Linked DNA regions of Mus musculus. The protein of the gene in region 2 purifies or fractionates together with the protein of the main gene of each other region. This does not show direct contact. Links are inferred from orthologs where the notes say so. Each region holds a gene or a part of one and is shown on either strand. Other genes may lie near its edges.

What was found. The genes of interacting proteins can lie anywhere in the genome.
Region 1: the proteins of Arpc1b (region 2) and Actr3b purify together in Homo sapiens (affinity purification with mass spectrometry; 5 studies listed by BioGRID and IntAct, counting the BioPlex papers as one, with this or other methods). This does not show direct contact. The link is inferred for Mus musculus from reciprocal best matches to the Homo sapiens genes ARPC1B and ACTR3B.

What each region holds. Positions count from the first base shown.
Region 1 is NC_000071.6:25,829,380-25,833,025, forward strand, and holds part of Actr3b (actin-related protein 3B), read left to right. Parts: intron 1-146; coding exon 147-290; intron 291-2,231; coding exon 2,232-2,405; intron 2,406-3,006; coding exon 3,007-3,099; intron 3,100-3,646. UniProt on the Homo sapiens protein: Plays a role in the organization of the actin cytoskeleton.
Region 2 is NC_000071.6:145,112,807-145,117,200, reverse strand, and holds the start of Arpc1b (actin-related protein 2/3 complex subunit 1B), read right to left. Parts: upstream 2,946-4,394; 5' UTR 2,860-2,945; intron 1-2,859. UniProt on the Homo sapiens protein: Component of the Arp2/3 complex, a multiprotein complex that mediates actin polymerization upon stimulation by nucleation-promoting factor (NPF).

The DNA of each region.
Region 1 (3,646 bases), about 120 Mb from region 2:
TAAGTGGGAGCCATTCAATGCTAGTTCAGTGCTCAGAAGGGCGGACATCTGGGAAGGTGAGGGTGGGGACCTCCTGAGTGCACGGGCTCTGGACTGTGGTTACTGACGTGGCTGTCCTGCCTCCTCTCCTCTCCTCCCCTCTCCAGGCAGAAGGTTATGTAATTGGAAGCTGCATCAAACACATCCCAATTGCAGGTAGAGATATTACGTATTTCATTCAACAGCTGCTAAGGGAGAGGGAGGTGGGAATCCCTCCTGAGCAGTCACTGGAAACCGCAAAAGCCATCAAGGTAAAAACAGAAGGGAACCTGGCTGGTTTGGGGGTGAGGGAGATGGTGCTTGGACGTTCCCCTCAATGCCACTGCCCCTCCTGCTCCCTTCCTATCCCCTGAGAGTGTGGGCTTTGGTTGTTTTGCCATTGAGTTTAGTGTGCTGGGGACGTGAGGCTCAGCGTGCTCTCCTACACAGAGAGCGGCTTCCGAGCTGGTGTTGAGCCACCGGTGTGTGGAGTAGAGCGTTGTTTAATTGGAGTCTAATTAAACCAAACCTTCAATTAGCTGCATGCTGCTTCCCCATCTCCCTCCGTGCTTCCGTTTAGAATCAGGAGGCGAGTCGCAGCAGTAGCTGTCAGGAATCCAGAGGTGTCTGCATGCTTTGTGTCCTGAGAGTCCTCAGAACCCTGCCAGTCTAGATCTCAGGGTCCTTAAACAGAATCCACCTGCCTGTCTCCAGACCTCAGTTACATGCTACGACAGTGACAGGAAAATGTGAACTTAGTAACAAAAGAGCAAAGTGACTCTTAGGTCATTATTTAGAGGGTCTACTTGACCTCACCCATCTTCCTATTGGTGTGGGCATGGCAGTTACAGACTTTTAAAAGGAATTTTTCTTCTCATCTAGCAAAACTAAAACATTAAAAAAGAATCAAAATGCAAGAGATTCCTGAGTGTTCAAGGCTGGTTATCATAAATCGAGAGGAGGGAGGATTTTGTTTGAATCTGGAGAAGGGTCTGAGGTGGGGTATGACATGTGACCTCACACAGCTCTGGTTCGGAGCTGCAGCATAGAGGGGTAACTTTCCTGCTGTTTCCTCTCAGCCAAGCATCTCTGGAGGTTGGTTGAATTCAAAGTTTCAGGGGACGAGATTTCTGAATTTTGGCTGATGCTAGTTGAGAACAATCCTTTTGGGATGGGACAGGTAGAGGGATGGCTCCTACAGAAAAAAATGCCACCTGTCTCTCCCTCGTGGGCTTGGGCTTCCCAGGACTGGGGAGACTCGAAGTCCTCAAGCAAAAGGGAAAAGCTGGTCCTTCCATGGTGGGGAGAGGTTTGAAAAGATGTCCTCAGACTTCTTTGTAGACTAAAATATTTCCAAGGTTTCCCCTCAGCCTTTGTTTCCCTTTCCTCAGTGGGAGCCATCTCTTGGCAGCCCCAGTGCTCTCGCCTGATTCTGCTCTTATTCTATAGTAGCTGCCAACTGATCTCATGATGTTTGCTTATTTCAGTCACCTAGTGTCTGACTCTGAGCTAGATGGCCTCTGAGAGGGACCTAAGTGTTTCATGGACTGTGTATCTGCAGGGTTGATCAAGTGACTTAGAATACCTAACCAGCAAGGGCAGGGGATCAAGCAAACATTTAACAGGAGGACAGATAGCATTTCCTTAGGCACGCATGCGTTGTGTACACACACACACACACACACACACTCTCTCTCTCTCTCTCTCCCTCCCTCCCTCTCCCTCTCTCTCACCCTCTCTCCCTCTCTCCCTCTCCCTCCCTCTCCTCTCTCTCTCTCTCTCTCTCTCTCTCTCTGTCTCTCTCTCATGCAATTGACTTCTGAATTCTAGAATGGGCCAAGCTTAGTTTGCTGGTCTCGAAGTGAGGCTGGCACCTGACAGGGAGCCTGAGGGGGCAAGCAAAGCCTGGGTGGAGACAAGGAGCTGATGTTTTATAGATATTATTTCAGACAATATGGCAACAGAATTAGGGAGAACATGGAAGTGATGTGTAACCATTGCAGAGAAAACAGACTTACCTATTCAAGTGTAGTCATGCTTAAGCTGAAAGACAGCAGGACACATGCTTGATGGGTCAATCACACAAGAGTTACAGTGTAGGCAGAGATGAATTCAGAGGTGTCTGTAAGATGTGGGTTCTTGTGTATTTGTCAGAGGGCAGAGACGTTGGTACTTATCAATGCTTTGGCCATGTCTTTTTTGTGTACATACAGGAGAAGTACTGCTACATTTGCCCGGATATTGTCAGAGAATTTGCTAAGTATGACGTAGATCCTCGGAAGTGGATCAAACAGTACACAGGGATCAATGCCATCAACCAGAAGAAGTTCATTATAGATGTTGGTTATGAAAGGTTCCTGGGACCAGAAATATTCTTTCACCCTGAGGTAAGATGTCTGAGTGTACTGAGTAGTATATGTGGAACGATGCTGCCCTCCAGTGTGCAGAAGCAGCAGTTCCCAGTAAAGGGACCCAGTGAGCAAGTTGGTTTCACATGGTGGTTCCCTCTGCAGCATGGTTGCCTGGAGCGCCTTGCTGTAGGCTTACCCACTTTAACAGTTAAGGTTGGGGTTATCCTGGGCATGAGGAAGATCTCTGAAGAGCAATGGAAGAAATGGATTTGAAACTGATCACCAGGGACCTGTAGGAATAAAGCAGTCACAAATCTCAAGGACTGTGTGCATTGACCCCTGTATGAAAGTAACACTAAGCCAGAGTGTTTTGTGACTGTGCGTGTAAAATCAGTGAATGCCCAGCTGGTGAACTGGCTCATAACTATCTGAAACTCCAGCTCCAGGGGATATGCTGTCTTCTTCTGGTCTCTGCGGGCACTGCACTCAGATGCTCAAACCCACACCCAGACACACCCACACGCATAGCAAAGTACATCACTAAAAGTAAAAATGAAGTCTTAACATTTTGTTTGAAAATAGTTTGTGTTATTTGAGAAAGTGTATAATGTTTCTTTCATATTCGTATGAAATATAGTTTGCCAACCCAGACTTTATGGAGTCCATCTCGGATGTTGTCGATGAAGTCATACAGAGCTGTCCCATAGATGTGCGCCGGCCGCTGTATAAGGTATAAACTTCTTGGGTAAGGTGTTTTGACTTCCTTCCCACATAAAAGGCCTGTAGTTGTTGCCTATCCATGAAGCATGTCTTCATCACTGCTTTCCTGCTCCCGGCAGGAAACGCGTTCCAGTTGTGTATAACTGAGAGCTTTGACTCAGAGAAGGGAGGAGTGGGACGCTGGGAATATGACACAGCCAATAAAGGGACTTTTCAAACTCTTTTCTTCCTCCCTTCCCCTCCCTCCTCTGCTTGAGCCCAGACATGACTTTCCTGTCTCCCTCCTCCCTAGCACTGGGGTTTCAAACCCTGTGTCTCCATGCCTGGCATGAGCTGTCTTTTTGTCTTGACTGCCAAACTGGATTGAGTTACACAGCCTGAGCCATACACACCAATTGAAAGAGGAAGGTTTGTCCTGCTCAGGCTCTCTGGGAACCGCTCTTATTCTTTGCTGGGTATTTACGGTCAGTGCTGAGGTTAGCATGGCAGTAAGTACAAATATGCACGTGGAGAAGTTTTCCAAAATTCTTTGATTGTCTGGAAATGTAAGACTGAAA
Region 2 (4,394 bases):
CTACGCAGCTCCCTTCCTAAGCCTGCCAGCCAGAGCCTCAGGCCCCTTTGCTGCCAAGGACATTCTTCCAGTGCCTGGGTCCCAGAGTTCCTTCCAAGAGTGCTGGGTTAAAACTCTCCAGCAGGGTGCGCTGCTGAACATCGGAGACAGAGCGGGCTAAGGCTGTGGGATCAGGAGTTTGAAGCCAGCTTGGGCTTCATAGGGAGAACCTGTGATTGATAGAAATGGATGGACGGATGGATGGATGGATGGACGGACGGACGGACAGACAGACAGACAGACAGATTAGATAGGTAGGTAGGCAGGCAGATAGACAGGTAAGGGGCTGGTGAGATGGCTCACCGGGTAAAAGCGCTTGCAGCCAAGCCTGATGACCTGAGTTTGATCCCCAGGACCCAGGAGCGAAGGAACCAATTAAGGCTTCTAACTTGTCCTCTACCCTACCCCCCCCCACACACACACACATAAATAAATATCCTTCGCCCTGGCCCCTTGGCTTTTCTTGGCTGTGTTTCCTTGAATCACACACTCAGTCTGGCTGGATTTGAGACTTAAGCCAAGCCGGGAGTTGCCTGCAGCGAGAACCTTGGCTCCACAGGCAATCCAGGAAGTCCCCGCCTAGCTTGGGAGCTCAGCTAAGTACAGCCAGCAGCAGTTTTTTTTTTTCTTTTTTATGGTGCTAAGCCTTACTCAACTTCCTGTTGTGGGTAGGAGCCTGGGTGGTGTGAGCAACCCTCCAAACCCTCAGTTCCTCTTCTTCCCCCTCCTCTAAACTGTCCTTGAAGACTTACTGAATGAGGGAAAGTCAAATCCAGCAACAGATTAAATAAATTCTAAAATATCGTAAAACACCAGTTTAAAGAACCAAAACAAAAACTTCTCCAAAACACAGAAGACTCGGTGCTAGCAGGGCTGTGGGGAGACCCTCATCTGTTCCATGCCTTTGAAGGGCCGCGTGCTAACTTCTAATTCCAACAGCTTGTATGAGAGCAGACAGAATGTGGGGCTGGAGAGAAGGCTCTTTGCAGAGAACTCCAGTAGCCCTCAACCACCAAATAAATACTCTAGCTCCAGGGGACAGCATTTTCCACCACCCCAGGGCTCAAGTGTGTGGGCGCGCGCGCACCCAACCCATAAAAATACATCTTTAAAAAGAGAACAACACTGATGACCTTAGTAACTTGAAAAAGCAAACTTTTAAAGCCCTCTTTCTTAGGGTTGCCTTACTACAGAAAACCCTTTTTATATCAGTGGGTGACAGATTGGAAAAACCCACATACCACTGAGGAGGCTGGATCACTGGTAGAGCACTTGCCTAGTAAGTTCCAAGGCCCTGGGACCAAGACAGAACAAAATACTTTAATTCTAGTTGGGGTTATTTGTTATTTGAAAGATCCCGAAGTGTGCTCACCTTTAATCTCAGCACTGAGGAGACAGAGCTCTATGAGTTCAAGGCTAGCCTGGGGGGAGGGAAGGAGGAGGGAGGGAGGGGGAAAGAGAGAGAGAGAGAGAGAGAGAGAGAGAGAGAGAGAGAACCCGAGTCCAGGGGAAAGGAGGAGACCCTGCCTAAAAGAACAAAACAACCCAGAGTGAAAAAGAATCACCAGCGTACACCTTTAATCCCAGCACTCGGGAGGCAGAGGCAGGAGGATTTCTGAGTTCGAGGCCAGCCTGGTCTACAGAGTGAGTTCCAGGACAGCCAGAGCTATACAGAGAAACCCTGTCTCGAAAAACCAAAATAAATAAATAAATTTTCATTCACACAGACCTTTGCCTTGCACGCTTCATTGTGTGTCTTTGAGTGCCCATGGGTGTCGGGGTATTCGAACTCAGACCCTCAGGATTCCCCCTCCCCAACTCCACCCCTGTCAGTGCTTTTATTCAATGCTCCATCTCCCAGCCCCGCACATTCTCTTACAGTAGAAGCCCACGTGGTAAATCTATTCCTTTTTTATTGTCCACGTGAAGAAGTTGTTCCCTCCAAGTCGCCCCGCAGGGCTGCAGCTTCGGACCCCACCCCACCCTCCCACCTCATAAGGCCAGGTTCAAAGGAGTGCAGAAATAAGGTCTGCAGCAGCAGACAAGCAGGCACTCTGCCAAGTGTACTAGCCACATTTGGCAGCTAAGCCTCCAAATCTGGAAGGTCCCCATTTTCCAGGCAAGGCAAGTTGAGCTCTAGAGAGGCGAGGTGGCTCGACTGCGTCAGCAGCCACACCGCCCCAGGCTGGAGCTGCCTCGCGGGAACAAGCTTCATGGCCAGCACCTGGGCTGGCTCCCAGTTCAGGATTCCAGCCTATTTGCGGGCCCCACCGGGACCTGCCCTGTCCGGGGTGGCCTGGCTGGGTGCCCCTCGAGCCGCCAGGGTCCGCTCGCCCAAGCTGGGTGGAACCAGGAACCTGGACCCCTGCCGGGTATGGTCACTGGGGGATGAGGCGGGGCAGGGGTGCTAGCTCATTTCCCGGTCGCAACAACCCGGAAGGCTGCGGACCGAGGGGGAAGTGACTGAGCGTGGGGCCCTGCGCCCAAAGTAACGGGGCGACACGGGTCTCGGGGATCGAAAGCGGGGCCAGGAAAGCGGAGAGGGGGCGCGAGGCTGGGGCTGTGCCGTCTCGATGGCGTCGAGTGCGCGGGGAATCTCTGCGATTCTTCCCACCGCGCCCCGCATCCCCAGAACGCCGCCCCCCACTAGCTCCTTGCCAGCCCCACCCTCGCCGGGAGCCCCACCAGGCCCCCATGCACACGGCTCTCCACTCCTCTCTCATCCCCATCCCCCTCACCGTCGAACATCGCCTCGAGTCCCCTGACTTCTAGGTGGCCTCAGACACCACACACACCTCGCGACCACCCCGCGCCCCTCACCTCGGGTCTCCTCGGCCGCGGACTCTGGACAGTCGACGCGCCGAACCGGCTCTGAGACCCGCGCAGCGCCGCAGCCACTTCCTCGTGGGCGGGGGGCGGGGCCTTCGGGCACAGCCCCGCAGGGACCGGGGGCGGGACCCGGGCGGCTGTGGCCAGATCTCAGGGCCCGCCCACCCCTCGGGGTACTAAGCCGCCCGGACCTCAGTTAAGTCCAGCTCAGCCCAGAATTCGTTCGGAGATCGCACGCTGTTGCCCCTAACTACTTTCTGAATGGGGAAACTGAGGCTGGAAGAAGGGGGGGGGCGCTTAGAGGGCGGAAGCCCGAGATCGGGCAACCAAGAATTCAAAGGTTTTGAGGCCACACGCAGGCACCCCGCAACTTAATGACTCCTGCCCCGCCCCTCGCACTCTAGGTGCACCCCAGCCGTGGTTCCCCAGACTCTGTGTCCCAAAGATGGCAGAGTCGCTGGCGTCCAGGAAGAAGAGCACTGCCACTCCAGGTGACTTCTCGCTTCGGAAGTCCACACACTTCCCTCCAAGTTGCTGAGTAGCTTTGCAGTCAGGTGATGATGCTCCAGGGTCAAGGGTCTTCCAGGTTAGGTGCGTCTCAAGTTCCTTTTGCTGTGCCTCCCACCTTCTGAGAGCTCCTCTCTAGACTCCCAGCAATCTCCTGTATCACTAATTCTGGCTTAGAGGTGCCTGTGATAACCCACACCTGTCATCCCAGCACTGGGGAGATGGAGGAAGAGAGATGAGATTCGAGTTCACCCTTGGCTGTAGAGCTGGATGAAGGCCAGCCTGGGTTACATGAAACCCTGCCTCAAAAAAACCAAAGAAATGGGCCAGTAAGATGGCTCAGATGGCAAAGGTGCTTGCTGCCCAGCCTAAGGACCTGAATTGAACTCCCAGCACTGACTTCCACACACATGCCAGCCATAGTGAACTAGAGTGTGTAAACATACACACACACACACACACACACACACACACACACGCAGGGTAAGTAAATAAATTAATACTTTTTTTTTTTTTTTGAGCCAGGGTTTCTCTGTGTAGCCCTGATTGCCCTGGAATTAGCTCTGTAGGCCAGACTGCCCTTGAACTCAGAGATCCGCCTCTGTCTGTGTCTCCAAGTTCTGAGTTCTGGTATTAAAGCAGTGCATCATCATGCCTGGTGTAATAAAATACTCTAAGTTTGGAGCAGTTGCTGCAGTGAACACCCTGCCCATGTTCAGTGATTATGTATATGTGTGTGTGTGTATACACACACACACACACACATATACATATATAATGGTGTTGGGATTCAAACTCAGGGCCCTGCACACACAGCAGACGCTCAGTCACGGAGCTACATCCCCAGCCTTCACTTAAGTCTCCTTAAGTTTCTGGGGCTGGACTTGAAGTTACGTAGGCCTTGAGCTTGTGATTCTCCTGCCTCAGTTCCCCGTGCCACCAGACCCACCCAGCTCAGTAAGATTTAGCTCAGGTTTCCACGAGTCATCCTCCTGCCACAGACACAGAGGAGCCATGAT